Neurospora crassa OR74A: one gene and its partners. The protein of the gene in region 3 binds, or shares a complex with, the protein of the main gene of each other region. Links are inferred from orthologs where the notes say so. Each region holds a gene or a part of one and is shown on either strand. Other genes may lie near its edges. The genes, in order: NCU04063, NCU02808 and NCU10747.

Evidence for each region.
Region 1: NCU10747 (region 3) and NCU04063 share a complex: the UniProt entries of both Schizosaccharomyces pombe proteins name them as parts of the nuclear pore complex. The link is inferred for Neurospora crassa OR74A from reciprocal best matches to the Schizosaccharomyces pombe genes pom152 and sec13.
Region 2: NCU10747 (region 3) and NCU02808 share a complex: the UniProt entries of both Schizosaccharomyces pombe proteins name them as parts of the nuclear pore complex. The link is inferred for Neurospora crassa OR74A from reciprocal best matches to the Schizosaccharomyces pombe genes pom152 and nsp1.

What each region holds. Positions count from the first base shown.
Region 1 is NC_026506.1:2,619,031-2,628,710, reverse strand, and holds NCU04063 (protein transporter sec-13), read right to left. Parts: upstream 5,430-9,680; 5' UTR 5,208-5,429; coding exon 5,205-5,207; intron 5,111-5,204; coding exon 5,063-5,110; intron 4,995-5,062; coding exon 4,879-4,994; intron 4,811-4,878; coding exon 4,063-4,810; 3' UTR 3,769-4,062; downstream 1-3,768. Other genes in the region: NCU04065 (potassium channel protein), read right to left, coding at 1-712, 788-900; NCU04064 (hypothetical protein), read left to right, coding at 1,730-1,896, 1,980-3,768; pex20 (peroxisome biogenesis factor 20), read left to right, coding at 6,344-6,463, 6,541-7,641; NCU04061 (hypothetical protein), read left to right, coding at 8,702-8,877, 8,959-9,340. UniProt on the Schizosaccharomyces pombe protein: Component of the coat protein complex II (COPII) which promotes the formation of transport vesicles from the endoplasmic reticulum (ER).
Region 2 is NC_026501.1:9,049,237-9,059,516, reverse strand, and holds NCU02808 (hypothetical protein), read right to left. Parts: upstream 5,521-10,280; 5' UTR 4,914-5,520; coding exon 3,063-4,913; intron 2,954-3,062; coding exon 2,756-2,953; 3' UTR 2,406-2,755; downstream 1-2,405. Other genes in the region: NCU02807 (uncharacterized protein), read left to right, coding at 845-960, 1,058-1,189, 1,383-1,422; NCU02809 (hypothetical protein), read left to right, coding at 6,358-6,433, 6,524-6,925, 7,077-7,885, 7,944-8,765; NCU02810 (eukaryotic translation initiation factor 2 gamma subunit), read right to left, coding at 9,765-9,795, 9,869-10,280. UniProt on the Schizosaccharomyces pombe protein: Functions as a component of the nuclear pore complex (NPC).
Region 3 is NC_026507.1:2,685,332-2,695,899, forward strand, and holds NCU10747 (hypothetical protein), read right to left. Parts: upstream 6,317-10,568; 5' UTR 5,969-6,316; coding exon 5,391-5,968; intron 5,331-5,390; coding exon 3,238-5,330; intron 3,167-3,237; coding exon 2,013-3,166; 3' UTR 1,504-2,012; downstream 1-1,503. Other genes in the region: NCU02383 (hypothetical protein), read left to right, coding at 1-1,106; NCU02382 (hypothetical protein), read left to right, coding at 7,414-7,889, 7,952-8,051, 8,118-8,299, 8,365-8,564, 8,624-9,234; NCU02381 (phosphatidylserine synthase), read left to right, coding at 10,361-10,451. UniProt on the Schizosaccharomyces pombe protein: Functions as a component of the nuclear pore complex (NPC).

The DNA of each region.
Region 1 (9,680 bases), on a different chromosome or scaffold from region 3:
AATAACGAGACCCAAGCTGATAATGCCGACCAGGGAGTACGGGAAGAGGAGAGCCCTTCCGAGAGTTGAGGTAGGGTAGTAATCGCCAAATCCCACGGTAAAGAGCGTCACGGCCGCCCAGTACACGCCATCGAGGTAGTTCCATCCTTCGGTGTTGGAAAAGATAAGGGCACCGATGAGGAGGTAGATGAGGAATGAGATGGTCTGTAGCATCAGTGTCCTCTGACTGGGTGTGAGCATGAAATCCTTTGCGTAGTGCCCCTGCTGAGATCCCCAGACGGTAGCTACCATGAGCGAAGCGACAACGAAGTACAGGACTGCGGCGTAGATGCCGTAAAAGTAAGCTTCAGACCAGATGAAGTCGTTGTTTTCCGGTCTCAGCGGTCCGGCTGTCGTACTTGCGAGGGCTATCAAGCATATGGATGAAAGGTACCATCCGACAATGGTGACGGGTTGAGCGACGGAGAACCGGAGTCTCCTGGTCATGTTAAGGAGTAGCGCCAGGTTGGAGCTTAGCGCGATGGCAAGTTGGACTGCATTGATAGCGATCAGCCAGGCTGGGTCTTTGATGAAGGTGGCGGTCTTGATGTCAGCCCCTTTGGTGTAATTCTGTCTCCATGGCCGGACTAGAGCACAGATACTGAAGGCGCTTGCAACGGGCCCAAGTGTGCCTGCGACCATGGGAAAAGCAGCCGAGGCAAACCACCATCGACTTGACAAAGTCCAGACCGTCAGTATATACTCGTATACAAACTGAGTACCCAAGGACGACTCTGATGTGACTTACCTGGGATCTCGATGGGCCTGGTCCTCTCCCATAAGCTTGGGAAGTGAGGCCTTGTACTGCGCATCGACCTCTTGAAGATGTTCCTCCACATTCTCACCACCAGCGTCCTGCATGTTGTCAGATAGGTAGTATTAATGCGATTATAAGAGAGATACAGTAAAAAAAAAAAGAAAGACAAAATGATGATAGTTGTAAAATGAAGTGTCATGGGGTACCGGGATGGGTTCCCCTATGGACGCTTGCTGTTGAATGTCATCGTCGAATTATCGTAGCATCACGGCGGCAAGGACGAAGCATGAATGAATGTCGGTGGTGGTTCATTGGGACTACCTAGGTAGGTACGGTAGTAAAGATATAAGACAAGTTGGTTTGATACTTTCCTGGAATAACCTGGCCAGCCCTTTCCAAGCTGAAAGAGAAATGTCGGGTTGTTTGTCACGTTGATTCCCGTCCCCATCCATCATATGACGTGCTGCCCTGGGCAAGAACATGTTCTGGAGGGCTGCGGTGATCGCTAAAAGCCAAGTTCTGCCAAGGTTTTAACGAGAGCTTGTTCTGTGGAGGGTCACATGGCCCCACTTTCCATAGAATTCAGCTGCCACCAGATGCCAGACAGTGATTTGCTGTAGGTACGTATCTCCATTTGTTTATGGTCGTCGTCTCTTAACAATTTCTGGCGGCAGCACAACACCAAAACAACACCCAGCTTTGATCGTGACATCAACGTTGACTATCCAGCTTGGCAAGTCATAACCTCCCATGGGGTATTCTTCTGCATCTAGAAAAGGAAAGAGACGAAGGGATAAGTTGGTGCTCCGACGAGTAAGAATTTCTCGTTCAGTGTCCAAGGCCTCTTACTCAGTTGTAAAATCGTGAAATGAGAAAGGGTCTGACAAAGAAACTATGCCAGAACTTCATCATACACTGGCAACTCCGTAGAAGATGTCCAGATGGACTCTAGCACTGAGACTTAGGCGCATCACCGTCGCTTTACCAAAATTTTCGCACCAGGCGTCCCATAGAAGATTCTACAGTAGCAGTCCCCCGTTTGAGCCTTCGATAGAACGCTATACTGTTCCATGCGCCTCTTCTGGTGAAATTACCGTCAGGTAGGTGGTCAACATAACATCAACAGTCTCCTTGGGAGCTGTGAGTGACGAAGGCCAATTTTAGACTGATATCTGTGGCTCAGTCTGTACAATGTCGCTGACCGGCCGCCAACCGATCCTTTAATCATCTGGATCCCGCCCTTTGCTGCTCGGGACGAGACTGACCCGAACTATCAACTCCCATCATGGCTTCACACATACTCGGCCGCTGTCATTCACTATAGATGGTCTGGCTTATACGACGACAGACCACAGCCAAAACTCAAGCCAAAGATTGAAGAGCCCGATTTTGACGATGAAGGATATCAATCGAGCGAGACGCCTAATAGCAAAGAAGAAGAGCGACTACCCAAGGAAGAGGAAGAAGATATCAGCATAACTCCCCTTCACTGGCCCACCCCTATCCACGACGTTCTCTTTGGCTACTCCTGGATCATTCAAAACCTCCAACCAAGATACCCCAAACGCAAAGACGTCTACATCTGCGGCTCCTACCTTGGCGCCAGTCTGGCCGCCGGGCTGGCTCTCACCGAGTCGTACCCACACGCGCGCATGGCCGTACGCGGTCTCCTCGCCTACAACGGCATCTACGACTGGACCACTTTCTTGCCTGACCACCCGATCCACCGGCCCAAGGGCGACGACCGCATCCTTATCGAGGAGCAGCTGCACAAGCTGAACCGCGACCTCGACAAAGATGCAGGACCGGCTGCCACCTCACCCATCATTGCCCATTATCAGCGTCGGCTCGAAGATCTCTTTGGCTCGCCGTCGGGACTGTTTGACAGCTTTGCTAGCGCTTGTCTGTTTTTCCACACGGCGGGACTTTTTGTTCCGACGACTTTTGATGAGAAGTATGTTCCTGAATGGCTTTTTCCGCCACCTCCAGGGCCATTGATTACCGGTGCCGGTACCGGCGCCAATGGTGTCAGCAGCGGCGACATCAACGTCCCCGCGGACGTCCCCAGCGAACCCCACGACCCATTGACTTCCCCCTCTACTCCCCCTCCTCACCAACCTCCGGCTCCGTCGCCCCTCCCAGCCAGCCAAAACCCCACCGACGACCTCGATCCCGACAACTCGGAGCACTCGGAGCACTACCGTATGCACATGTCGATGATCAACGACGCCGAAGGCGAGCCGGACGAGGTAGCGGCCGAAGACATGCTCCAACAAACTCTCAAGGTAGAGATTCTACCTGGCAAGTTCCCACGTAAGAGCTATGTGCATTTCCCGCCGAGGCACTCCATGCTTAAGCTGCCGGATACGTTATTGTTGTATGAGACGCCGTCGGCGGAGTTGCCGTTCAAGTGTGATGCTTTGGCGAAGATTGGGTCGTCGGAGGGGGGGAAGGATGATGGGGTTGTTGATGCCGCGGCCCGGAACAGAAATCAAAAGGGACTTAGTGGTGTTCAGAAGCAGAAGCAGAAGAAGATAAAGGGGGAGGAAGAAGAAGAAGAAGAAGAAGGCCAGGGAGAGAAATACGAAGAGGGCGACTCAGCACAAGGCGAAGCAGAGGAAAAGAAGAAACCCCGCCCTCGTCTCAAAACGCGAAAACACCGCAAACCCCCGGTCGCCATCACCGCTGGCGAGAACAGCTTCCGCACGCAAGCGTACGAACTGGCGCTGCTGATGCAGCGGAGCATTGAGATGTTGGAACTCAAAGAGCGGCGGAAGTGGGACGAGGATTACTTGATCGACCTCCACCACTGGGAGCTGGAGGCGGCGAGGAGGGTCAAGGTGGCGGACGTGGGCGTGGTGGACGATCAGGACATGGCGATTGGCGATTTGGAAGGTGTTGGGGATCTGGATGAGAGGGGAAGGGAGATTGTGTTGGGATGGTTGGAAGAGAAGATGGATAAGGCGCGTTGATGACTTGGGAGGTGGGATGTACTGGGTCAAATGTACTCCCCGTAAGCCCGAGGTAATGTGATAGTGTAAGATAAAACTCGGTATGATCTCTTCATTGTCCCGAGCGGTTCATGTGAAGCCAACCTGGATATGTTCTTGTGAAACCGAAGGTAAGCCTGCTCCTTTTCGCTGGCCTCCCTTATTTATTACCCGATAACGCCCACTCTGGATGATGAGTAGATATCCTACCTACCAATATTATGCTAACGCTCGCCACCCATCATCATCATAACGTGACCGAATTCCCATGTGATTTTACTCCTCAATGGTCTTGACGTTCTCCCACTCGCCCTTAAGGTTCTCCTTCCATAGTGTGACCTTGTTGTTGTCACTGCTGGCGGCCAGCACGTTTCCGCTGAGCGACCAGCTAACGCGCCAGACGGCCGCATCAAAGTTGAGAACCTTGCACTTCCACTCGCCCGGGTTCGCCGCGTCACTCGTCCAGATGCGCACCGTCTTGTCCTGCGAGGCGCTTGCGATATAGCTCTTCTGAAGCACAGTCGGGCTCCACGCAACGTCGCGCACCCAATCTGTATGACCCGCCAGGGGCTCGCGCTCGAGCTTGTATCCGTTGGTCGCGGGGTCGAAGGTCCAGATCTTGAGCAGGTTGTCGGAACCGCCAGTCACGAAGCGTCTGTTGCCCGTCGAGCCGGGGCCGGGGTTGCTGCTGACGATGCTGCCGGGGGTGGTGGCGGGGGCCCACGAGACCGAGTTGACGCCCAGGCCATGGGCGTGGAAGATGTTGTGCTCCCAGCTGTTATCCTTGAATTCGAGAACGCTGACGTTGCCGTCCGAAGAGGCGCAGGCCAAGAGGCATCCGGCTTCGTGGGGAGACCAGGACACGATGTTGACGCTAGCCTTGTGTAGGGCGAAGTCGAAGATGCGCTGCCAGCTGCCGGCTTGCTCGCGCCAAATGAGAACCTTGCCGTCGTAGCCTGCCGAGGCGAGGATGTTGCCGTACTTGGGGTGCGCCCATGCTACGGACCAAACTGCGCCATCGTGTCTGTCGGAAGAAGGGAGGTTAACCCATTGTCCATATTGTTTGGTGACTGTAGCCCATCGCAAACATACCCCTTCAATGTCTCAACAAGTCGCTGTGATTCGCCCTCGATCTCGAAGATCTTGATGGTGCGATCCGAGGAGCATGTCGCTAACCTCCTGCCGTAGTAGTCGAGAACTGCATCGTGCTGCGAGGGTCGGTTAGAAACAGAGGGATGGTTGTCGGGAAACGTCGAGGGGGCGATGTTCAGCGTACAATCATATCATCGTGGCCAGAGTTGGCGATAACCTGTGCGCCTGCGGTCTGTCATTGTCGCGATAGCTTCATGTTAGTGGATAGGTAGCCAAGTAAGGGGGAGGGACGCCGCCGGCAGCTTTGGGGGTGTAAGAGGACGTACCATGTTGATTAATTATGGAGTATTGAAGATTGTGGAAAAGACAAATAGATTTGTATGGAGTTGTATTTGCGTCCTTTGGGTGATGAATGAATTCAGACTGGAGTTATAAAGTACACTACTCAGAGTAGTAGAAAGGAAAAAGGGCCGTCGTTGGGGATTCAGTTGCTGTTAAGTTGGATCACCACGGACGGGCATTGGGAATGGAAGCTGCAAGCTACAGGCAGTGGACGCCCAGGCGACACGATAGGTGAACCCGTCTTGCTGCGCTGGAGCTTCCACTTGACGCTTGCGCAGTGATCCCTGTCGAGCGATGTGGTCCAGCTGGCAAGAAGTCAAGGTGAGCAAGGTGAGCAAGGTGAGTGGAGCCTTTGTCGGTTTCCTCGTAGGCTCACCGTGGTGTGACGTTATTGTAACCAGGTCGGAGGCTCGAAGTGGACTCTTGTTGAGACAACCAAGGTGGGGCAGGTGAGGCAGGGGCCCGTTGACGACCCCACGCGTCGCCTGGGCTCTCCCGTCCCGCTGTAAAAGTCCACTGAACATGCCGTGCACATGATAGCGTGTGAGCGCATGGCTACCCCGACGGGAATTTCGCCAGTGCCGTGGCAGCGTTCACTCCCGTCACAAAAAGTTGGGATGGAATCTCACTCAACCAGACCTGACCATTTTGACCCTTCTTCCAGAATTACTTGTTCAAAATCAGCGACGCTTTTTGTTTGCTTGCTAAAAGGATTTCTTTACACACAGTAATCAGTCGCGTCCTTTTCGTGGTATTAGGTCCGGCGTTGTTTACTCTTTTTTTTCTCGTTTCCATCTTCCCCCCTCTCCAACTACTTTTCTCCAAATACTTAGCGTTGAAGACTTGAGATACCGGCGGGTTCGGTGACTACTATCGCGCTGTTCAAAGAACCTCGGCTTCTACTTTCGCGCCACTAATCTACATTACTTACAACTTACAACTCTCCTTTCGCTCACTCATCCAAGTCTTCCTCGCTCTACAATAATTATATACTCTCTTCAAGGACATTTCGTTCCTCACTCTTTATTTATAAAACCTTCTACTTTTGTAATTTCTTTCTCGAAACTTACCGTCACCCGCGCTTCTCGCCTTTTTGCTTCCAACAAGTCAAACCTCGCTCAACATGTCTGACAGCATGTGCGGCCCGTCCAACGGTGCCAAGAACCTTCTTGCGCACGCTGATCGCGACCGCACTCTTCACCAGGACCGCCTGGTCAACTCGCCCAACTCGGCTGCCGGTGCTGTATGATATGATCGCTTTCTTTTGTTTTGTCTTGTCGTAGAATATCCAGCGTAACTCGGTGCTAACAACCCATCCAGTCCTTCAGAAACCGCCCCTCCTTCGCTGCTGATGGTGCCTTTGAGACCTTTCAGCAAGCCCCTATGCTCGACGCCCCGGGTCCTTCCCTCGGCCTTGCGAATAATACGTTCCTGAACAACCCAGGCGTCCCGGCTTTTCATGCTGGTCCAGCGCCTGGTGTCTTTGGTCATGCGGTCGGAGGTGCGCCGGCTACGGCCAGTCCCATGCACTCCTCCCGTGCCGCTGCCCACGGCTGGGTCGACCAGTTCGCCAGCATGCAGCTCCGTCAGGACACAGCTCACGCGGCCCCGGCCATGTCACCTCAAGCCATGCCGGCAGCCATGTCTACTGCAACCCACAACTCCATGATGGGCTTGCAGGACGACCATATGGCCTACAACACTCGCCAGTTCGGCGGTATGGGAATGGGTGTGGGTACGGGAATGGGAATGGGAATGGGATTGTCCATGGACGATCCTTTTGTCATGCATGGCACAGCCACGAACAACTTCACTCATCAGCAGCCTCAGTTCGGCCTCAACGACCACGTCGAGTCGGCACTTGACATCGAAGCCTTTAACAAAGCCTTTGGCGAGTACGACGAGTCTTCCTTTGAGCAAGAACTTGCTGAGTGGGCCGAGAAGGAAAAGGCCGAGAAGGCTCAGCAAGCTCAGCAGGAGTTTGAGGCTGCCGAGGCCGAGTGGATGGCGCAGCACGGTCCGAGCGCCGAGAACAACACCAAAGTCGGCCCCCCCACCGACGAGGAAATGGCCACTATCGATGCTGATCTGGAGAACCTCGCTGAAGAGATGGAAGCCAAGGAAGAAGCCGAGGCTCGTCGTCGCGAGGGCAACGAGGAGCTGGCCAAGGCAGCCAACGCCATTTTGACCTCGGTCGCCGACAACCAGTCCGAGAAATTTCAAAAGTCGACTTTCCTGGATTTGATGCGTCGCATCGGCAACAGAGAGGTCGAGGTCGACGGTGATAAGCTTGTCGATGTGGCGACTGGCGAGCAGGTTAGCACTAGCCCTTCCGACTTTGGCCCCAACGACGATGTCTCTGGCTCTTTGGATGCGAACGACAAGGGCATAGCTTCCGCTGAGCCTGCTTCTTCCGCTTAAGTTTTCGGCACCTCAAAGTCGAGGATACCGTGTTTCGACCTTGGCTCACTGCTGGTTAAATCGAATCACTGTATGGGGACTGGGACGACCAGTTTGTTATCATTGCAGGCGCGACATCGTATTGTTACATGATTTCTCACTTTTGTTACGGCTTTATTACGGTTTAGGGGACATCGACACGATGTCGTGTCGAGCATTCGATTTTGTTGCTGCGCATTTCCGAGCATGGACTGGTTTCCAAGGGACGTATTTTCACATTGCTGGGATAGAAGGAAAGGGTTTACATGAATATGGAACTGTTTGGTACGAAAAGGATTTGCTTCAGTCATGGCTTGGGTCAGGTTCCGATACCAAGGGTTTGGGCATGGCGTTCAAGAAGGCCACAGGAGGCTAGGCAGGCGCATGGTTCATACTTTCTCTCACTACTTGTTACATGTCAGCATTGTTTCGGAGTATTATTACTATTACACCGGCGTAATAGGCATTTGTTATTGTACTATAATTATTCTCACAACAACAAGCAGGAGGCTTATCATTCTCATATTAGCGTGGATTCACATAACTGATACTGACACGTGTGAATACCTCGGACTGGAATTTTGGTTACTGATTTTGCTTCTCGTCGAGTCGCCATTCCCGGCCAAGTGAGCGGAGGGGCATGGAACTCGTGGGGTCCCGTGTGCCGACTGTCCAGTCGGGATGCCGCCGTGCGGGGGTGGGGCTTCCCCGGACGGGATCGCCATTCGGCCACGGGTGGGATGCTGGAATGATGCCATGCCGGGACCCCATAGCGTGGCATTTAAACGACCGCCATTATTTGTCATCCGTATTGTCACCTTCGTAATGCTTACTCATGAGAGAATCACGTCGATGAAGCTATTCGGACACCATATTTGACTTCAACTTGACCCTAACATAGTTCTCACCTATTTACTTCAGTTCACATCCGAGTTGACGCAGTACCCTAAAATTCAATTTAGAATCAACCCCGACCAGCTCACCCCAAACCCATTCAGCCAGAGACTCTAGACTCTAAACTCCTAAAACAAACAACAACAACATGCCCTCTCAAAGACCAACTTACAAATCCCCCCTAGAAGGCTACGAAAATGCCCCTCCCCTCCCCACCGAAAAGGCCGAAGACGGCAAGAGCCTCCTCAACAACCAAACCGGCGTGCTCAGCAGCGCCTACGAAAAGTTTCCCGAGCCTCTAGATAACGGGCGACGAGGTGCCTTGTACGAGCCTATACCCCCCTCGTTGCCTTTTCTTTCCCTCTTTCCCTTCTCCCTTTGTAAGTTCACTAACACTCCCCAAAGCGACGTCCACATCTATCACCTCCCCAACCACCCCGCCCAAGCCCGCTACGCTGCCGAGCTGCACTCCCGCATCAGACACGAGTTCCCCGAGTTACGCATCTACACCTTTTGGAGCCAACCCGTCGGTCCTCACCCGATTGGCATGTTTGAAGTGAACATCTTTACGCCGGCGCAGCTTGGTGCCTTTGTGGGCTGGTTGGCGGTCTGGAGAGGACCGTTGAGCGTGTTGATTCATCCGAATACGACGGAGAAGACCATTAGTGAGGGCGGAGAGATCAGTGAGGCGGAGAAGGAGGCGAGGAATCATACGGACAAAGCGATTTGGATGGGGGAGAAGGTGGTGCTGAATACGGATATGTTTTGGGAGGTTATGGATCGTTGAGCATCAAGGGGATTCATTTTCGAAGTAGGGAAGAAGGAGGATACCCTGGGTAGAGAACGGTTGGGTACCTATGTGATCTCTATATCAGAGAGTGATGAGATAAGATGCCTTCTCTACCGGGAAGTTTTTGGGTTGGAGATGAAAGCGTCAATGGGAGGGAAATGTTTTGAAAGGATGACAAAAACCTTGATTCGACCACTCATTGTCTGCGATCAGTTATCGTGTCACTGAGTGAATGAACCGGGTGATAAGGTTTTTCTAAGATCCCGATAATTCGATCCTATACTTCACATACCGTAGATACTTTCACCTTTCTAGACAATCATTGTTTGTTAGATAC
Region 2 (10,280 bases), on a different chromosome or scaffold from region 3:
GTTGTTGCCCTGGGCCGTTTGTTGACAAAACTAGGTACTTGGTCTAAGACACACGACGGAGTTTCGTTTGTGGTTGTCTTTCACTCCAGGGCATTGATTGACTCCAGATCATGATTGCTTTCGGACCCCCTCTCAGCCCCTGATGCGTCATTCGTTACCTCCCAGCAAGACAGCTGAAAGTGGGAAGAGGGGTGAGCTAGGTTTGGCGGGGCAGTGGGGTTGAGCGTGCCATGGAAGCTTGCGCAAAGAACACTGTCGAGTGTCGTCGCAACAAACTGCTGCCTCAGGCGAGAACTAGGTTTGTCTGATCCAACCCGATTGCGGTAAAGCTGCCAACTGTCAGCGACTGCCACAGCCGAGCCGTCAGCGGACAGGCGGAGCAAGTCGGCGCCAGAAGCCACGAGCCTTGAGCCTTGTCCCGGTATGGAAGGTAAGGTACGTACAAACCCCCAACCCGCGACGACATTCGCTGGAGAACAGAACCGAGCTTCGACGTCCCTGCGGACCCGAGAAGCTCCATCCCCGTCCCCGAACTCCAGTCTCCAGTTTTCGTCAGGTCATCCCAAGCAAGTGTACACTACGCAATTGGATCACCATCGCCTACACAACGTAATCGCATTGACAACTAACTCGACGATTCAATAGAAAAAGGTAGCTTACACCAACTTCCGCGACTGTCCAACTGTTGTAACACATCTTCTCCCATACATACACTCAACTCTTTTTAATCAAATCACCCATCAAATCTGTCTTCTGGCACGCCAACCTAAGAAAAGAGACCCCATCCGCTAAAGCTTAACCCACGTCACTCTAGTCCAACCAAACCACCAAACCAACCATCAAGATGCTCCGCACCACCGTCTCCAAGCTCGCTCGCCCTACCGTTTCCAGGGCGTTTGCGACCACCTCCCGCGCTCTCGCCGGTGAGACTGGTGCTCCCCCAAAGACCGGCGGCCCAGGGTGAGTTTTTGTTCCGCCGCGTTCCTCGCACGCGCACGTGGATACGCGGCGACTCCAACTAGTTCAAACCCGCTGACATCATACCCTCCCATTCCAGTGACGCTTTCCAGCGCCGCGAGAAGGCCAACGAGGATTTCGCTATCCGCCAGCGCGAGAAGGAGAAGCTCCTCGAGCTCAAGAAGAAGCTCGCCGAGCAGCAGAAGCACCTCAAGACTCTTTCTGATCACATGTAAGAACGACCCATCAGCCAGCCAACAGCCACCACCGGCGCATAGTCGCCACAAACACACCAGGCCGGGCGCGCATCATATGGGCCGTAGTCAGCTACGCACACCATCATCAGAGGAAGCCGGGCCTCGATTCTCCTTCACAAATAAAAGAAAGTTCTAAAAACAAGGCAGTTACTAACATTCGAGAAACAGTGACGAGATCACCAGGGAGCAGGGCGGCGAGCGCAACTAAACGAACAACAAGCAACAATAACAACCCATAAACATATTTTTTTTTCTTCTTCCTCTGCTTATTATCATTCCCTCTCGCGACGTCCCATCGCTACACACGCCACTACGCCTACGCAGTATGAATGCAATGAAATGAGAAGGGGCCAAGGATTTGGGGGGGTTAAGAAAGGATGGGACTTGGGCTACGGGGACGGACGGCGCGCCGAGGATGAGTGTCATCTTACACATATCTCAAACTTACCCCTTGTAGCAATATAGCGAGCAAAGCCATGATCGATGATCACAAAATCACGACCGGGGGACCTATGGACCTCACAAGTTGCATCAATGGGACGAACAAGTGTCTAAAGCAAAACCGTGACAGAACCGAGCTTATGAGAAAGTCCAAAACGAGTCGAACAGTTCCTGTGCTGCAGTAGGGGCGATATTGGGTTCATCGGCTTGCCCTTGAACCAGAATCTCATAATGCGGCTGAAGAGTAATGAAGTTATCAGGAAAGCAAGCCAGCCTACGTAGTTCCGTAACTAATTTTTTTTTTCAAAACCTAGTTACTTTGATCCAGACTCAAGACTCTTCATTATCTTAATGCCACTTACATGGAACATGAAAAAGAAAGCAGACGGGACGGTACTTTACTGAAGTATTAACAACTTCAAGTCCGTCTTATAAGAAATTTCACTGATACCCACCGACGTTCTGAGTCACAACAATGATGCTCTACGTCTCGGTTTTCAAAATGAAACTCCTGGCAGTCGGTACCTATATGTACAGTTCGGCAGTCCGATATGTATGATATTCACTCGACATCATATGAAGACAATATATCGAAAAAAACAGACACATGAACTCCCTTCCAGATGTAATGAACCCCTTTTTGGACTGTGGCCATTACCTTGAACCCATCTTGTTTATTGATTTTTGCTTCCACAACCTAGAATAAGTGGCCTAGCCCAGCCTAGCATAGCATAGCCTTTTTTCTTGTCTCCTAACCCATCCCAAAGCCAGACAGACAGACAGATCTCAGCTACGTAAATTAACATCATCGATCCCCCCCCATCCACAGCCACGATACATATACAAGACGTTTCAAATCATACCATGATGGTCTTTCACAGACTAACAAAACAAACCAACAAACCAACAAACCAACAAACTAGGGTAGGTAGGGTACTCAAAACTGAACACACACACACACACACAGACAAGTTCGCCGCCATCCGATTCTTCAGCCTCTTTCTCTTTCTCTTTCACTCATACTTCACTTTACTTTAGCTTCCTACAATACAGCATCATCAAAGCCCATTTATTTCCCTTCCCTTCCCTTCCCTTTCCCTTCACCTGTTCACACCACCGGCCCTGTACGAGCGGTAAAAGCTCTGAGCGGCATCCGACTCGTTGACGCCTTGGTGGGCACCCATGCCGCTGGTAGCCTTTTGGGCAGCGGCCACCTTGGCTTGGAGGTCGGCGGCGTTTTGGTCGATCCACTGAAGCTGGTGAAGGTGACCGTTGAGGACACGGACGATTTGGCTGAGCTGTTGTGTTTTGTTTATCGTGTGCGTTAGTGATTGGATAAAATAAGGGAAAAATGGAGAAAAAGGAGAGAAAAAGGAGGAGAAAAAAAAGGGAGAGAGAAAAACATACCGGATCATCAGGCTTGCTCCCCTTGCTCAACGTGCCCGTCATATCATTTATCTCCTTGATCATCTTGGCCAAATCCTTGCCCATCTCATCCAGCCTATCCGTCAGCTTCTCGGCAAGCTTATACGTCCTCTCGCGCTCCTGATCGGGGCCCAAGCCGTCGCCAACACCGCCAGCAGCCTTTGACTCGCCGCCGGATCCAAGCTGCTGCTTCTTGAACAACTCCTCCAGCTGTGCCTCGTACTGGTCCAGCCACGCGGTCAGCTCGTCCTGCTGCGACTCGACGCCCGAGAGCTGGCGCTCGATCTCGTTGCTGGCCTTTTCGGCCTCGTACGTGCTGGTGTACAGCTTCTGGATCTTCTCGCCGTTTTCGACCAGGAGGCGGTCCCATTCGGCCACCTTGGCGGCTTGCGACTTGAATTCCTTCTGGTACTTGGAGAGATCGGTGGCCCAGCGGGTGATGATTTCATCCATGGTCTTGTTCTTCAACCGCGGGAGAGTAGAAGTGGGGCCGGTGGTCGTGGAGGCGAGGTTGCCGGTGGTGCTGGTGGTGCCGGCGGCAGTAGTGGTGTTGTTGGTGGTGGTTTTGGAGGTGGTGGTGTCCGCAGGCTTGGCTCCTCCTCCAAAGAGACTGCTGGTGGTTCCAGCAGTGGCGGTGGTGCTCCCACCGGCAGTGGTGGTGGCCGCTGTGGTAGTGGCGGGCTTGGTGGTGGCCGCACCGAAGAGGCCGCTAGTTGTGGTCGAAGACGAAGGAGCAGGCGCCGTGGTTGTGGTCGTCGAAGGCGTAGTCGATCCAAACAAGCCTCCTGATGCTGGGGCAGTAGAGGTAGTGGTAGCATCCTTGTTGGCGCCGAACAGACTGCCGGAAGCAGCAGTGGTGGTAGAGGTGGCAGGAGCTGAGGTAGCAGGAGTGGCGCCGAACAGACCACCCGTAGCTGGCTTTGCGGCTTCGGCCGGCTTGCTTGTGTTGGCACCAAAGAGGCCGGAAGTTGCTGGTGCTGTGGTGGTCGTGGTCGATGTCGTAGCCGGGGTTGTCGAGGCTCCGCCAAACAGGCTGCCACCGCTGGTCGCAGGCTTCGCGCCAAAGAGAGTAGATCCGGAAGTGGCTGTCGTCGCGGGAGTTGTGCTGGACGCAGGCTCGGCTGGCTTGGCGCCAAAGAGACCAGAAGTGGTGCCAGAGGTGGTGGTCTCGGCTGGCTTCGCTCCGAACAGAGATGGTGTTGTTCCCGAGGTGGGGGCAGGGGTTGTGGTCGGGGTACTCGAGGCTCCTCCTCCTCCAAAGAGGTTGCCAGAGGCAGGCTGGGTAGCACCAAAGAGAGAGGGCGCGGCCTTGGAAGCGTCAGCAGCAGGTGGTGCACCGGCTGGGGTAGTCGATCCTAGTCCAAACGAGGTCTTAGCCGGCGTCGTCTGAGAGTTGGCGCCAGCTCCGAAGAGACCACCGGTAGCCGGAGTAGTAGAAGCATTGTTTCCAAACAGACCTCCCGAAGGAGCTCCTGTTGCGGGTGTGGTGCTGGCCCCGCCACCAAACAAGTTCGAGCCACCAGCGGCGGGGGTTGTCGATGTGTTGGCAGTGGTGTTTCCAAACAAGCCTGCGCCAGGCGTCGTGCTGCCTCCTCCGGCAGTGTTGGAAGCAGAGCCGAAAAGCGAAGGTGTAGTCGAGGTGGTATTGGCTCCGAATAGTCCTCCAGGTTTCGAGGCATCTGTAGGCTTAGCGCCAAACAAGCTACCGGCTGGCTGTGTCGAGCTCGCTGCTGGGGTGCCGAAGGAGGAGGCTCCGAAGAGACCACCGGATGTAGCAGTTGTTGCTGGTTGGCCCGAGGCCGCGCTGGAGCTTGGTGTACCGAAGAATGACATGATTGCGATTATGTGAGGCTGACGATATGATGTCGAGGTTTCGGGGTTGGTTGGTTGGATGGATGGATGAGGCGTTGGTGGTTGGGTAGTCGTCGTCAACCAAAATCTAGAAAGTCAACAACAGCGTCCCACTTCCCAAGGCTGTTGCGGTTACCTCAACAACAACAGGGAGCGCGCGGAAACCCAAGCAACGATTCGTTGAAATGCGAAGAGGAAGATCGGCGCGATCTCGGTTTTGAGTAAGTGATGCAATGGTCCAGCCGTGGTTATCGGATCGCGAGTTTTGGACGTCGGTTCGGAATCCGTTTGGTGGAGTGGACGTGGACGTCGTTTGGGCGTGGATTGGAGAAAGCAAAGAAAGTGTGGCAGCGTCACTCAGTCTCTCGGTCTCTGTTTGTCAAGGTTCCGTCCGTCGCGACAGGCCTTTCCACTTTTTTGGAGGTGCTGCAGCGCGCCTGGGCTTTTCCCCTTCTGGGGACCCGGACGCGCACTCAACAAGGCCAAGCATTTCCCGCTTATTGGAGCACTCCAGTCACCACTGCAACGAGTCAGCCCCAGGTGAAGTGGTCAGCCTCACCTCACCTACCCCGTCTAACATTTTACTAGCAAGTGCCAAGCGTGCACGGCCAATCAATATGTGGCTTGACGGCAGTTCGACAACTGACGGAGAACTTGAGCAATGACGGGGCGGGCCTCATAAACTGAAGCGAAGTGCTGACTTTCCACTTGCCGTGATGCTCTTCTGCATTCTGACTGGACCGTCTGGTTGCAGCACATTACGCAGCGAGTTACCATACAGTTTCCGGACACGGCGGTACCTTAGTACCATACCGTACCGTACCGTACCGCACCGTCCCAGGGTAGCCGAGCAAGAAGCAGGAGCCCCGTTCAGTCGTCTCGGAAAGCTTGGGGTGGTGGTTACCCCATGTTCTAGATTAGGCCATCGTGAGCCCATCCTCTAGACTAACTCTAGGCCATCCGGAAGCTGTTCCTTTCTCTCGTCTCTCTCCACACACATTGCTGTCCATCGTCTGGACATTGGGATGCCACAAGTCAGCCGCAACGTCTGTGTGCATACCCAATCTTGATTCAGTTCACTTTGACCTCAGGCCATCTGCTGCGTGCAATTGACCTATCTCCTGCAGAGTATAAGAGTCGGCTTACTCCCGTCTTGTTATAGGACACTCCAGTCCTGTCCCTCACAGCAGTAAACATACTGTAGCACCCCACACCAACTACATCACTCCTCAGTCCTCACCTTGGCCCCCCGATCCCCGATCCCGATCCTCCCATATCCATATCCATATCCATATACATATACATACACCTATCTTGCTTCCTACCTACCATATACATTTCTGCGCTTCCTTCAGCACTCACCATAGTCGGAAATCCTCTTGTTCTTTGATCGTATAGACCGCCGCGACTACGCTTCGAGATCACAATGGCTTCGCGCAGGAACAGTCTGTCGCCTCCCGAGAGGCAGGGGACCATGGACCCGGGCGCTCATGAGCTACCTGGTAGGTTACAGCTGATGGGGAACTTGGGAGACCTCTGGACAAAGTCGGCACATGGATATCCAACTAACCATTCATTCTACGCGACAACAGGCTCCGACACCGAAGATCACTACTCCGATGCCATCTCTTCTCCCAAAGCTCCCTCCTCGCCCATCCCGCGAACAAGAGTCGAGAGAGTAGACGACAAGCCGGCGTATGGAGAGGTCCCGGGGACCAAGGCGTATTCTATGAGGGAAGGGGACGCGAAGCCGGATGAATTTGCCATTATCCCAGACCCAGACACCAAGCTCTCGACCGAGGAGCATGACCAGCGCCGGCCGTCCACTCCAGGCGGGCGCCCCATTCCCATGACCGTAGTGGAGGAGACGCCAGATAGCACTGGTGCCGTCACCCACCATGAGATCGAAGCGAGGCACAGGGTTGACAGTCCTCCCGACGTGCTTGTCAAGGCGGATGGGCAAAAGGTCGAGCATGAGAAGGGTGGTGACAATGGTACGGATGCGTAGCACTTCTTTCTAGCCACACACACACGCGCGCGCACACACACACACTTTCACAAGCACATGCCTGTTTGTTTGTTTTTTTTTGAGCCAGCAAATTATACAAGATCTCCTTTGTATTGACTTTACGTTTTCCTGCGTAGATACACCAATACCACCTGCATTAAAGAGTCCCGCCTCGATCCATTCTAGAGACTCGTCATCTGATCTAGACCAGCCATCCCCTGACTCGCCCTCATTGGGGCCCAGTCTTCTAGAAAAGGAGGAGGCAAAAGATGACGCGCACGACAATGTCGTACGAGACAACGCCAAGACCGCCGACGACGAAGACGCCGATGAAGATGAATCCAAGAAGGAGGAGGAGAATGTAGAGGTCAAGACTGAGCAGGCTCAAGATGGAGAGGTGGAGGACGAGAAGCACGAGGAGGAACAGTCAAAAGACCGCGACACCGAAGAAGCATTGAAAGGAGACGAGTTCGAGGATGCCAGCGAAGAGCTTGAGACGCAAGATACAAAGGAAGAAGACACAGAGGACCACTTCGACGAGGCAGAACCCAGTCAAGAGAACGAGAAGAAGGTCGAGCCAGAAGAGGACAAGAAGGACGATGTCAGCTTTGACCAGAAAGAGGAGAAGCCTGTTGAAAAAGATGGGTTCGACAACGACGACGACGACGGATTTGCTGAAGCAGGGGATAAAGCCCCCGACGATGACGGGTTTGGTGATGACGACTTTGGGGACGACTTTGCTGAGCCAGCTCCGGCTGGCGCCGATGACTTTGGGGATGACTTTGACGACTTTGAGGAGGGAGCCGAGGCCAACAACGATGCTGACTTTGGCGACTTTGACGATGCCGGCTTTGACGACGATGACTTCCAAGAAGCCGAAGGGTTCTCAGCTCCAGCACCTGCTCCTCAGCCGCAACCACAACAACCGCAGTCCTCATTATCCTTCGTAAGTCCCCAACCCAGTTACTCCCTCTACGTCCAACACACACTAACATATCCCCTAGCAAATACCCGACTTCACCCACCTTTCCGCGTCCGAGATCCTCTCCCTCACTTCCCCTTACCTCAACGCTCTCTTCCCTCCCTCCCCCGACACCGACGGCGACGACTCCTCCTCCTCCCCCATCCCCACCCTCAATGTCTCCAACGGCATCACCGACCCCATCTTCCAACACCCCCGCTCCGCCTCCCTCTGGTCACAGCTCGTCGCCCCTCCCCCACTCCAACCCCCCGACTGGATCCGCTCCCGCATCCGTCGTCTCTTCCTCGTCTCCCTCGGCGTCCCCGTCGACCTAGACGAGATCCTCCCCGCTTCCAAACAAAAGAAACTCGTCTTGCCTTCGTTAGGCGACCCCGACGCAGCAGACGACGAACGCACAGGTCGTTCGCGACGCGCTAGCTCTGCCGCCGCTGCCTTCCGCAACAACCAAAACAGCCAAAACCTTACCACTACTTCGACTTCGAATTCAAGCCGCAACCCATCCAAGCAACCACCCGTCAACAAAACCGTCGCCGCCGCCGCAGGATCAAACACAGAAGGAAGCGCCAACCGCTCTTCCAGTTCCGCTAGGAAGGGACCACCGCCCGAACCGGTATTCGACCTAGTGGCTGCCAAGCAGCTGTGCGAGACGACGGATGAGGCGCTTTCGGGGATGACGGACAAGGAACTCAAAGAGCATGTTCAAAAATTGGAGGCGATGCAAGGGGTGGCGTCCGAGGTGTTGGTGTATTGGCAGCAGAGGACGGATGAGAAGATTGGTGATCGGGAGGCGTTTGAAGGGGTGATTGAGAATCTGGTGAAGCATGCAAGGAAGGTTAGGAAGTAAGTAAGTAAGTACGTGAGTACATAAGTCGGGGTGGGGGAGGTGGGTGTGATTGGGTATATATATATGTGAGAGTGTGGGTGGTTGGTTTGGTTGGGGATCAGGGAATGGAGGGGGGAAAGGAAAAGGATGATGATTATATTCTATTCTTCTATTCGATGTACAGGAGGTGATTACTTTGATAGACTGAGACTTGTTATAATATCAGGTGTTGTAATTAGCGAAGGACAAGAAGGTTTTTTTCGGGTGTGGTTCAGTTTCAAAAGGGGGAGGGAATTGTGATAGGTATGATAGACTATCAGGTCTAGAAAGAGAAAAATGAATAGAGTTACGTACGGATACATACTCGACTGTGTCCCATGAAGAGTATTGTTAGGTATATTCTTGGACTCTTTCCATCTATCCGAGCCATTACCATAGCCTAGTATAATGGTAAGATGGTCATTACGTCGAAGACTCATGGCGGAATCAATGTATTTATCTTCTCTACTTCACTCTTTCAAGTTTACTCTTATCATCACCACTGGCTAATAAACTCAATCCAAGTACGTCGGACCTTGACAAAATCAACGTAATGGCATCTTCTCTACCTCTACCACTACTTGGTAAACCCAAAGTACGTCGGTACCAAACATAACTTTTTGTACAAAAACTCCTAATGGTCCGATAATGCGCTTCTCTTCACGAGTTCCTCTTTTCACAACATTCCTCGCTCATCTTCTTCAACGAATCGTATGACCAGTCTTTCTACTGTCCTCGGCCCCAAGTTGGATAAAAATAAGACCATGTACAAATTTCACAAGGCTAGTTTTTAGAAACACAGGTCCCGGTTTCCCCACGCTACGCCGTTTCCTTCCGTGTCCGCGCCCAAGTTTCCATTCTTTGATCATCCTCCAACGACTTTTTGGATATTCATCATTAGAGCAACCAAAAATTAACAACCTTTTAATTTTCCTCCTAATCAAGCGATGTATAAACTTTGGATATTTTCTGGTCGCTCGCTTAAGAGGTAGAAGGCTCGAGGGTGACACCGCTGTTTTTTTTGTTAGTGGTTATTCAGTGGTGATAAGTTATGGGGTAAAGAAATAGAAAAGAAAAAAACTTACGCAGCAATGGTAGCCCAACCGATAAGACGCCAGTGCTTCTCGATACGTCTGGAAAGGGCAACCTTCTCGCCGATGCTCGTGCAGGCAGGGGAGGTGAGGATGAGCTTGGCGGCATCCTTCTTAATGGCGGAGACCTTGGCACCGGTGGAGGTGGAACCAATGTTGACCATGATGACTTCGTTCTTGGCAAGCTTGTCGACCTTGGCCTGCTTGCCGTCGGCGGTGCGGACACCGAGAAGGCGGCGGAGGAGGTAGAAGTTAACTTCGATCTCGGAGTAGATTTCGGGGAGGCGGCCCTTGAGACCGAGGACGAAACCGACCAGACGATCGGCACGGCAAAGGGTAGGATCGATGCGGGTACCAACACCAATGAGACCACCGGGCACGGCGTACTTGAGGTCGTTGGCCTCGG
Region 3 (10,568 bases):
TATTGGAGGGTGTTCTAAGAGACGGCGAAGACATGGCGGTCACAATGGCTTACTCGCAGATACGAAGACATTTCAGGCGGTTTGAACACTTGCTCAACGAGGTCAAGACGCCGAGATTAGTGGTTATTGACGTGGCTGATGACACAAACACCTTGGTCACCGTGGAGAGCACGACAAGTACAAACGGCTATAGCAACTACACGACAGCACCACAACCGGCATCATCCGCGTCAGACAACTACATCGGTACAGAACGACGACTAACGCTTACCGGCCTTCAAGATTGGAGTAACTGCGTCTTTGGCGATCCACTATTAGCTACCATCTTCAGCGACGGCGTCTCGGAATCCTTCATGGAAGGTTTCGAAACCGGTCCTGCCTCTACCCATGCGAACCATCTCGGGGGCAGCAGTAGAAACACAAGTGCCAGCACCCACAGCACCAACACAGGAGTCATGTCCATCACAGCCATCACCGAACAAACCACCATTACTCGTGCACCTGCACCAACAATATCCAGCCTTCCGCCACCAACAGAAGCCAGCAGCAACAGCGACAACGACATAATCTCCTCGCTGATCGAAGACCTCCCCAACGCCGGCATTCGCCTCCTCCTCTACCAAGTCTACCACGCCGCGCTCTGCATTGTCAAAGAGTTCTATCGACCTCGATCGTCACCTTCCCCCTATAATACTACTACCTGCTCCTCCTCTCCTCCTCCTCCTCCTCCTCCTTCATCCTTCTCCAGCTCTCCAAGTACCAACAGAGAGCTCGAAGCTCGGAGAAAACTCACCGAGGCGCTGAATAGGTTGGAGAGTGCTGCTGCTGTGCCAGTGGTTACACCGATCTCGGTGTTGTCTGTACCTGTGCCATCTTCCCTCAAGAAGCAAACCCTCCTCGCAAGCAATAGCTGCTCCTCACCGGTAGCCGGTGCTAGGTCGTTATTATTTGGCCTGCAGGAGATTAGTACTATTGGTAGTAGCAGTAGTAGTGGTAGTAGAAGTAGGGATGATGTGCTGGCGAACAAGAAGCTGCATCATCGACCGAGTGGAGATATGAGCCCTGCGAAGAGGGCGAAGAGTGCTAGTGATGGGGAGAGGGGGTAGTGACGGGGCTAACCAGGACTTCCGGGATGAAGTAAGCTGGGGAGAGGGCGAAGAAGGCACAGACTCCCCCGGGGATGGATGGATGGATGGAGACCAGGAGGAGAAGGAATACGGGACAAAGTTTGAATGGGATAGGCCGGTCTGGATGGAGTCCGCATTCGCGCAGTTGGTCGCTTTTAGGAAAGTGGACCATTCAAAAATTCAGCAAGAAGTATAGAGAGAGAGAGAGAGAGAGAGAGAGAGAGAGAGAGAGAGAGAGAGAGAGAGAGCATTGCATAAGATACGGATTGGATAGAAATATGGAAAGGTATATATATGACAACACAACACGTTTGAAATACTGCAACACTTTTTTTCGATTTCAAGGAATGGACGCACGGAAACAGAAACACTGATTCAGCATGATTTCAAGTCTTTTCATTAATCCTTTTCCTTGCCGCCCGCCCTTTCTGCCTTCCCATCATATCCTATTCCGTTCATTCTCGTGAGTTGTGGTAATTGTTCGTTCCCCATAAAGACAGAAAACGCCATGCTATGTTCTTAGTCTACAGAAAAACACATAAGTGGATGTAGAGTAGTGGTAGTAATTCGTTACAAAAAAAAAAAGAGAAAAACGAAAACACGAAAACCAGATCTCCATCCCTAGAACCCTATCTCTCTCATCTTCTTTTCCATCGTTAATTTTTTTGATTTGCTTCCTCCAGCTGTGCAACAGCCCACTTCATGCCATACGTGGCCATGGCCAGCCGACCAGAGCACACCGTGTCACCCAGCATTGTTTCTCTGAGACTCCCTGCATGATTCTCTTTCCTCCGCCTTCCTCCCTTCATGTCCGACCCCTTTTCGTTTCTTGCCACCTCCCATGCCTTACTCCTTTTTGTCTTCTGATTTTCACAAAGAAGGTGATCATTGGTACTTCAGCAACCGCCCATCCTTACCCTCCACATATTCCACCCCAAGCATCTGCGTCGAAAACGCGCAGAACCGATCCTTGATGGCCACGACCTCGTATGCACCTTCCTGGCTGGCCTTGATGACCTTGCTATACTCTTCGCTGATATCGTGCTTGGTCTCCAACACCGTCGCACGCTCACCCTTCTTCTTGGGGTTGGTGCTGCGAGTATACGTGAACTCGAACGGAGGGGTTCCGTAGAACTCGAAAAGAATCTCGACCTCGCCACCCTCGTGGATGTCCGTCTGCACCTGCTTGCCCTTGGAAATACGGGCCGCGGGGAGAGGGTGAATAGTCTTGGAGATGTTGACAGGAGCGCGGCACTCGGATGCCCGGTCACTAACCGAGGTAATCGTGAACTCACCGGGGTGCTCGGCGATACGGCGGAAAGTCGTGGTGGGAGATTTGGCCCTTGACTCCTCGCCGTTGAAGGTATACCAAACCTCGAAGGGAGCGGCACCAGCAAGGGAGTACCCCAGACGTTCGCCGACGCAGTAGTCGGTGCGAGTCTCGAGAGGATAAATGGTGGGCGCCTCAAAGAGCTGGATTTGAACCGAGTGGGCCTTGCCATCGGGAGTATCCCTGTGGGCAGATGTGTAATCGGAGATCGAGTGGCAGCCGCTGCCGTCGCGAACGCTGCGAATGCGAATCGTTTGGGTTCCAAGGCGCAGCTGGTGACGCGGGATCTGGATCTCGTACGAGTTGGAGTTGATTGCAGGCGTACGGTACACTTCCGGAATCGGGCTGCTTTGGTGTCTGATTTCGAACTCGAGGTTGAAGGGAGGGACGCCGTTGAGAGTGATGGGAATCGACTCGGATTCACCTTGGTCCGTCTTGCAGTACTTGAAGGTTTGACCGGGCTTGGCGAAGGCGGCAGTGGGTTTTTGATTAACCTTCTGTTTAACAGTCACGGGCTTGAAAGTCCGGTCATTAATGTAGAGGTTATCAGAAAGTGAGTTGAACGTGTACGTGTACTGGCCCGCCCTGGAGGTGTCTGCAGGGACGGAAGCTTTGCCGAGGGCAGCTTCAAAATCTTTCCTACTGATAGAAGCTGGCCCAGACGCAGGTTGATGGCGAATCTGGTATTCGACATGGAAGGGAGGCGTTCCTGTGTAGACATTAGCAGGCTGTGGGGAAACCAAGGAATGTGCCTGATGGGGCGGCTGATAGTAGATTTACCTTTGAGTGCAACTTGAAATCCAGATACGTCGCCCTCACAGACATCGCTCACAACAAAGCTGTTGGTGCCATCTGGCTGAACGTGCGCAGACTGTACAATGGCGAGCTCTGGACGAGGGAACCAGTCGACTTCAAAAGACGATGCCTTCGGATCAACAATGCCGTGGCATTGTCGATCCCAGACATCTGTGATCTGGAAGATACCCTTGGTGCGAACATCAAGGAAGTCATTGTCGTGCTTGATCGTCTTTTCCAGGACCCGGGGGGCGTTTCTCGAGGTATCGTTGACATTGCTGTAGAAAACCTTCCATGGGCCCTCTCCAGTGAGGCGAAGCGGCAGCTTGACCGTCGAGCCCTCAACTGCCATGGTCCTGCGTTTGGCATCGATAAGACCAAACGCTGCTCTTGGGTTCTGGCGGCGCACTGAGACCTTGACCTCATCCTGCACAAAGTTACGGCATGCTCTCTTGTCTTGGACGCTCGTCAACGCCAGAGTATACTCGCCGCCCTTAGCAAGGGAGCCCGTCTTGATCTGATACTTGTTCGTCTGGATATCCTTGACCTTGTACTGCTTTCTCTTGCCGTCATGGATAATCTCCCATTCCAGCGTAAATGGTGCGTCGCCTTGAAGCTGCACATCCACCGAGACATCGTCGTTAAGACAAGCGGCCATGTTACCAGTGCTGTGAATGATGCTGGCAGAAGCTGCTGGCTTGACATCTTGTTCGAGGATATACTCGGGCCCGCTGAGCTTTTGAGGTTCGTAGATGGAGTCGCCAATATGTGTGAACACGTACTTGTGATGTCCGGCAATTCTAGGGATGAATTCTTGCTGGAAACGTAGGCCATTAACCTTGATACGCTCCACCGAACGCTGCCCATTGGAAATGACCTCGTATCTGACGTTGAAGGGTGGAGTACCAATGAGGTCCATGTCGACGCGCAACCCAATGGAATTTCCAGCGCAAGTATCTGGAATCTCCTCCGAGCGCAGCGTGAGCTTGGGCTCGAGAGGGTTCAGCAGCAAGCAAGAAGACGGCTCCTGCACCTCTCCCTCGCATTGTCCGGCAACAACCGACTTGAGGGTATACAAACCAGGCGCAGCGATTCTCGGCCGGTCCCTGGCATTCTTGGTGTCGTAGGTGCCAACAGAAACAACATCCCCATGGTCACCGCTCTTGGTGAGGGTGTCAATCGGCGAGAATAGCCAGCTGATGGTGTACGTAGTGTCGTCGGGTACGGGGCCAGGAAGTTCGTATCTGATTGGAAGATCTTTGGAACCGCCCCTGGCAACCTTGAGAGGATTTCTAACGTCGCACCCTTCAAGACGCGCACGCGGTCGCTCCTTGACGAAGAGGTTCTGCACCAGATGCTTTGGCCTTGTCTTGGGATCCAAGTCGTCAGCATGGCCGGTGTACCTAGCAACGTTTCCGAACGCATCATGGACCTCATCGACGGAATACTGCCAGACTCCACCAGCGTTCATGGATTCATTGAGGTTGACGGGGACCCGTTGAGCTCGAGCCCAGGAGACGTCATCATCCTCAATGAGTCTCGCAAGACTACGCGAAGCACCGAGGAGCGGAGAAGAGAAGCCCTCTGGCTGCAAGCTCTGGATGTTGAAGCTGTGGTCTTTGCCGTTGATGGTGCGGCTATAGATGACTTTTAGTGGCGGCGTGCCATCAACCAAGAGGCTGAGATCAGACAACTCGCCGACACAGCGGTTTGGCGAGGAGACTACCTCGACGCTAGCGCGAGGGCAAGGGACCACAAAGGTGAGGGCAGTCCTGCGATGAACTTCAAGCTTATACTCGTCAAGCGCCTTGCCCAATCGATAGGCACCAGGCTTCTTGACGGGAAAGTTGTACTTAACAGTGAAGATCTCGTCATCTGCGTTCCTCTTGACCTCATTCTTGATTTCCTTGAGCTGGTTTCTTGTCAACTTGATGACTTCGTGTTCGTTGGTCTCGAGGTCGGTGCGGATGATCTCGACATCGATGGGAGTTGTCGCATTGAAGAACAGAGGGATCGAGGCAACCTTGGTGTCCCCTCCAATGCAGTACGGGGTGTTTTCGGGGTTGAGCACCACAGAGCTGGTGAATGGTCAGCTTTGCCGGGCCTTTTCACTAGTGCTCTTGCTTGGTATGACTTACCCTTCTGGGAGAATGTTGATAATCTGCCTACCCATGAGGAGGGAGTGATTGTAGAGGATGCTGGACACCTTGACTTGATGTTCGGTAATGGCAAGCTCCCGGTCGTAAAAGACCTTGACAAATCCGAACAGCCATGTCTGCCACGGGAGGCCGATGTTGAACATGAGCATCCAGTCAACCAAGGCGTGGGCAACAAAGGCGAAGACGACGAAGGACTGGGAGAGTTCGAGCCATGGTATCCTAAGCTCGGGCAGGCCGAAGAGATAGATGAGGTCTAGGGCGATCCACTTGAGGAACAGCCAGAAAGACTCGGTATTTTCTTCCACCACTTGGGTCCAGTCGTACACCTTCCACGCAAAAAGAGCCGCGTAGACGGCAACGGCGTAGAGGCGCTGTGTGGGCGCATCGATAACGTGAAGCGGGATCACTGGCCCTGGGCCTGTTGGTGCTGGTGCATTTCTCTGGGGGGCGACGGGGAGGGCATTGGGCGTTGCTGTTCGGGCGCGATTCGCGGGAGCAGCTTCGGGTCGTCGTGGTCCGGCCATGGGAAAGCCGCCTATAGAGTCCTTGCCTGCCATGGCATGCCGAGTCTGTGAAGGCTTGACGGCTTGGTAGTGGCCACGGGGCGCAACAATGTGCACGTTGTGGTTGTCGTCGTGATTTTCGTAGCTATCGTCGTCGTCGTCGTTGTCGTTGTTATCAATCGCCGAAGGACGGGAAGGAATGAATGGTCCACGAGGGGAGAGAGAGGCGTGGTTAATCAGTCGTTGGCAGTAGTGGTGATATGGAGAGCCGACATCAAAACAGGCATTCTCAGTCTTCCTCTTGTTCTTCCTGTTTGCGGGCAGGCAGAGACAGGCCTAAAATTTCCCAACACTCTGGAAACTAACAAGTCACGTCAAAGACGCGGTTGTGGTCTCTTTGAGGTTTTGCAGTCGCTGCCCGCACTGCAAGTGCTGCTTGGCTGGCCTACTAGCGTGTGCCAATGGCTGTTTAGACGATTGTGATTGGAGAAATGGGGAAACCTTCCCCATCTTTCTGTTGGTCAGTGCTTTCTGAAGCTTACCTGGTCCCCTGCCTTCAGCTGTTTCAAGCAGTCAGACAGTGCATGGGACAATACGTAGGTACCCAGGTATTGAGCGAAAGTGGAGGGGGAAGTAAACAAAAGAGGTCGAGCAACATGTAGCTCACCGGGCAAAGATGGGCAGCACTTTATCATAAGATCGTCGTAGCCGTCTTTAAGGATCCGAAACGTGTCTAGACTTGAACCTGATGCTCAAATTGCTCCCGTGAAACCCGGGGTGCACAAATGCTACGGTAGGTTGATGACACTTGCAGGAGTGGTGGTCCGCCATCAGGTAGGTAGGTAGTGTACCTCCCGTCTACTACCTACCTGGCTCTACATACTTAACACTACACAGTATCCGGCCGGATGTAGTGTAGCAGCTGCCCAAGTGTCTGTGTGCGCCTGCGACGGCACTTACACACATAACACCGACCTCCATCAAGGCCGTCTTTCTTTCTCTCTTTACAACCTCACCATCTTGTCGCTACTGATCGCATGAGATCGTCACTACATCCACTGCTCGTTAGTCTGCCGGTTTGGGCTCGACCCAAGAGCTGATCCACCAAACTTTCATCGGACTGATTGCAAGCGAGTTATTGGTGCAGTCACTTACAACATCCCCGGCGTACTCTCCTCCATCAACTTGAACTGCCTCTCAGATTTGATCATTTACCTTATTCACCCATCGACTTTGGGAGCGAACAAAACAGCCTCCATACCAGACTTCCCTGTAATGTTCGCGGCATGTCATATCCCGAGTCTCACGGTTACAAGTCACAAGGCAAGATCCCACGCTACACTATCTCCAAACGGCGACTGTCCCTAAAACCAGAGCTGGAAAAGACGAGCAGCCTGCCCCCCCCCCCTCTTTAGCCTTATCAACATACATCCCTCAGCTTGATTGGGTTACTGCTTGTCGAACCCATCAAGTACATTCCACGACACTTTCCTTGAAAGATGGATCCAAATAGTGAGCCGGCGACAACCCGTCGCTCAGGGCGTGCCCGCAAGCCAAACACAAGATATGCGGAACTCAGCTCTGACGACGAACTCAATTCGTCTGCCGGTGTGAAGGCCAGCCGGAAGAGGGCGTCACTCGATTCGAAGGCCTCAGCAAAGCTGGAAGAGTCAGCCGATCCCGAGCGATTATCGATGCTCAAGGAGTCGCCCGCTTCAGAGGAGCCAACGACAGCTGTTCGACCCCGACGAAGTGCCAAGCGCAAGGCAGCCCCTGAAGTCTTTGACGTGCCCATGGACGTCCTGGAGGCTTCGCTAGGACCGTGGCAAGAAAATGAGCTGGCAGAATGGCCAAGCTGGACGGACGTAGAGTCTGACCCAGTCTTCTTCAACCGTATTCTCAGACTACTCGGCATACGGGAGGCAAAAGTGAGGGAGGTATTGTCTGTTGACGAGGAATCGCTCCTCCTTCTCCCGTGAGTCGATGGCGCTTCCCATGTTGCATCAAGGGGTATCAACAGGTACTGACTGCGCGTAGGGAACCTCTGTATGGCCTAGTGTTCCTATTCCAGGTCATGGAAGAGGAGGAGGAAGATCTGGAGCCAGATGAGGAGTTTGGGTTATGGTTCGCCAACCAGGCAAGTCATTAGTTTGTCCTTTGGCGCCTCCCTCTGTTTTCGACTGTGGCTAACCTTGGTTGGCAGACGACCAACAACGCGTGTGCGACAGTCGCTTTATTCAACATCATCATGAACGCCCAAGACCTTCCACTGGACATAAATCTATCCAAATTCAAGGAGGAATCTGGACCGCTATCTCCGCCATTGCGTGGTCACCTGCTCAGTAACAGTTCGTGGATCAGGGTAGCTCATAATCATTTCGCAAGGTACGTACGGCATTCCGCTTCCCAGAAGGGCTGAGCATAAACGGCTTGAGCTGACGTTTCAACAGGCGTCTGGACCTTCTCAATGCAGCCTTGGCCCTCGAGAACAAGGTTGAGGACAGCAAAAAAAAGCGGGCTAGAACCACAGCGCGCCGCAAGAAGGAGCAGGAGATGGAGGATGCCTACCACTTTGTTGCATATGTGCCAAACCACGGGGACCGTAGCGTGTGGGAACTCGATGGGCTGAAGTTTAACCCCCGCTACGTCGGTGTGTCTCTCCTACTCAACGAAAGAATTCAGACACGATGCGACTAACAAATATTGTAGGCAAATTTGAGAAAGGGGCGCACTGGACGAGTGTAGCGCAACCTGTCATCCAAGAAAAGATGATGGAGTACGAGGCCGATCAGTTGGCGTTTAGCCTTCTCGCTCTTTGCGGAGACCGTCGGGCCGCACTGCGGCGTCAACTCGCTGTCAACATCCATTGCACGGAATTGCTCAATGATGCATTCCGAAGCGAATCGGCCTGGTTCGAGGAAGGCAATGACTCGTCTTCGTTCAAGGACCATATCAGCAACTTCAACGATCAGAGTAAGCTGGACGAATTCCAGCTCAGTACTGACGAAGCTAAACTCATGATCAAAAATTCAGCAGAAGCTCGTCGGTTGCAAGATGATATACAAACGGGTGGGATGGAGATGGCTGAAGCGTTGCTTCTTAGAACAGAGCTCCGCCAGAAGCAGGAGCAAATTCGGGCGGAGTACTACACAGAAGTCGCGTCTGGGCCGGAGGGTGACGAGGACGGCGATGCTCAGAATGAAGACCCTGGTCGAAGAAAAGACCACACGCCAGCAATTCATGAATGGGTGACGAAGCTTGCCGAGCGTGGTGTGCTGAGGGAGCTACACGAACAGGTGAAATCGCGAAACGGTTCATAGACATCCATCCCTTCGTGGACTGGCCGTCAACTGGGAAGGTACTTGGGGTTGTTTCTGCAGTACAGTCATTTCCCAGGGGTGCGTAGTGTAGAGCGACGAACTGTTTTGATGTTAGGGGGAAAGGACTTTGTCACGGCTCAAAGATCGGAATGTGGGTTTCGATTTTGGACAAAGCCGGGTAGTAACCAAGCAGCACATTCACACAAAGGTTAATAAGATAAACTGAAAGTGAAACAAGGACAAAAGACGTGTTGGGAGGTCATGACGCGCAGGACTCGCGCCATCCGTCTGGTCTCTCGATCGACGATTGTCTCGAAGCCTTGCTTAAGTTGTTGGTTAACAAGTCTGTATCACCACGTCTTTTTTTGTGACGTAATCTTGGACAATGTCCCCGCGGCCGGGACGAGAAGGGCAGGCGGTCAAGTAAAGGTAGCGAGTCGTGCCGGCAGAGAAGCGGCCGCCAAACAGCCCAAGGACGATTTGAGAAGGCGGTCTCGAGTCGGTCGACGCCCCGGCTCCCGCCAAGGCCAGATTTCGCTGCGCAGAATGACGGCATGACCCCTGCCACAAAAGCAGGACCCTGTCATTCCCTTCATCCAGACCTCCAGAGAAGCATTGACCTGGACTGCCCGTAGGGGGGAACCTCGAAACCAGAAAGGCACCGTGACCAACAAGCACTTGGATACCACCACCTTGTTGTTGTCCTGCCGTGGTCTAGGTGGTCACGTAGAGGCATTCAAACTCGTCCCAGCCCCTCACCAACAAACATTCTTCCCCATCTTCTGCATCTTTGCAAGAAAAAGGCCGTAAAAGTAACTTTCCTCAACTAGTCTTTTGGTGAGCATCTCCTGCCGCTGTCCCTTTGGTATCCCATCTTCACATGCATGCAGAGGCGACTGAATACTAGCAGGCTGCACCTTCTCTCAGAGCACCAGCTGATCAACTTTTTTTTTTTTCTTCTTCTTATTTACAGGACCCTCCTTGCATCCGGCGACTTTCCCCCCTCAAGAACCAACCGAGAAAAAATAAAAGACACGACAAGCGCCCGACGAGACAACACCCATCTGATCTCTCCCATTCACGAGATTCCAAGTGAATTTTCCACTCCATCTCTACGACCGCAACCATGTCGAAACGGCCGAGCTATGCGTCGGTCGCCAATGGCGCCGCAACCCAAGACGACTCCACCTCCGCCGCTGCTGCCGAGTTCGATCGCTGTATGTTTTCCTTCCTTATGCGAACCTGTTCGATATCATCTACCATCCGCTGTTTGAAAGGAGCAAGCCCTTGAGCGCTTAAGGTAGACAACTGTTGCTAACATGGCGCGTCAATCG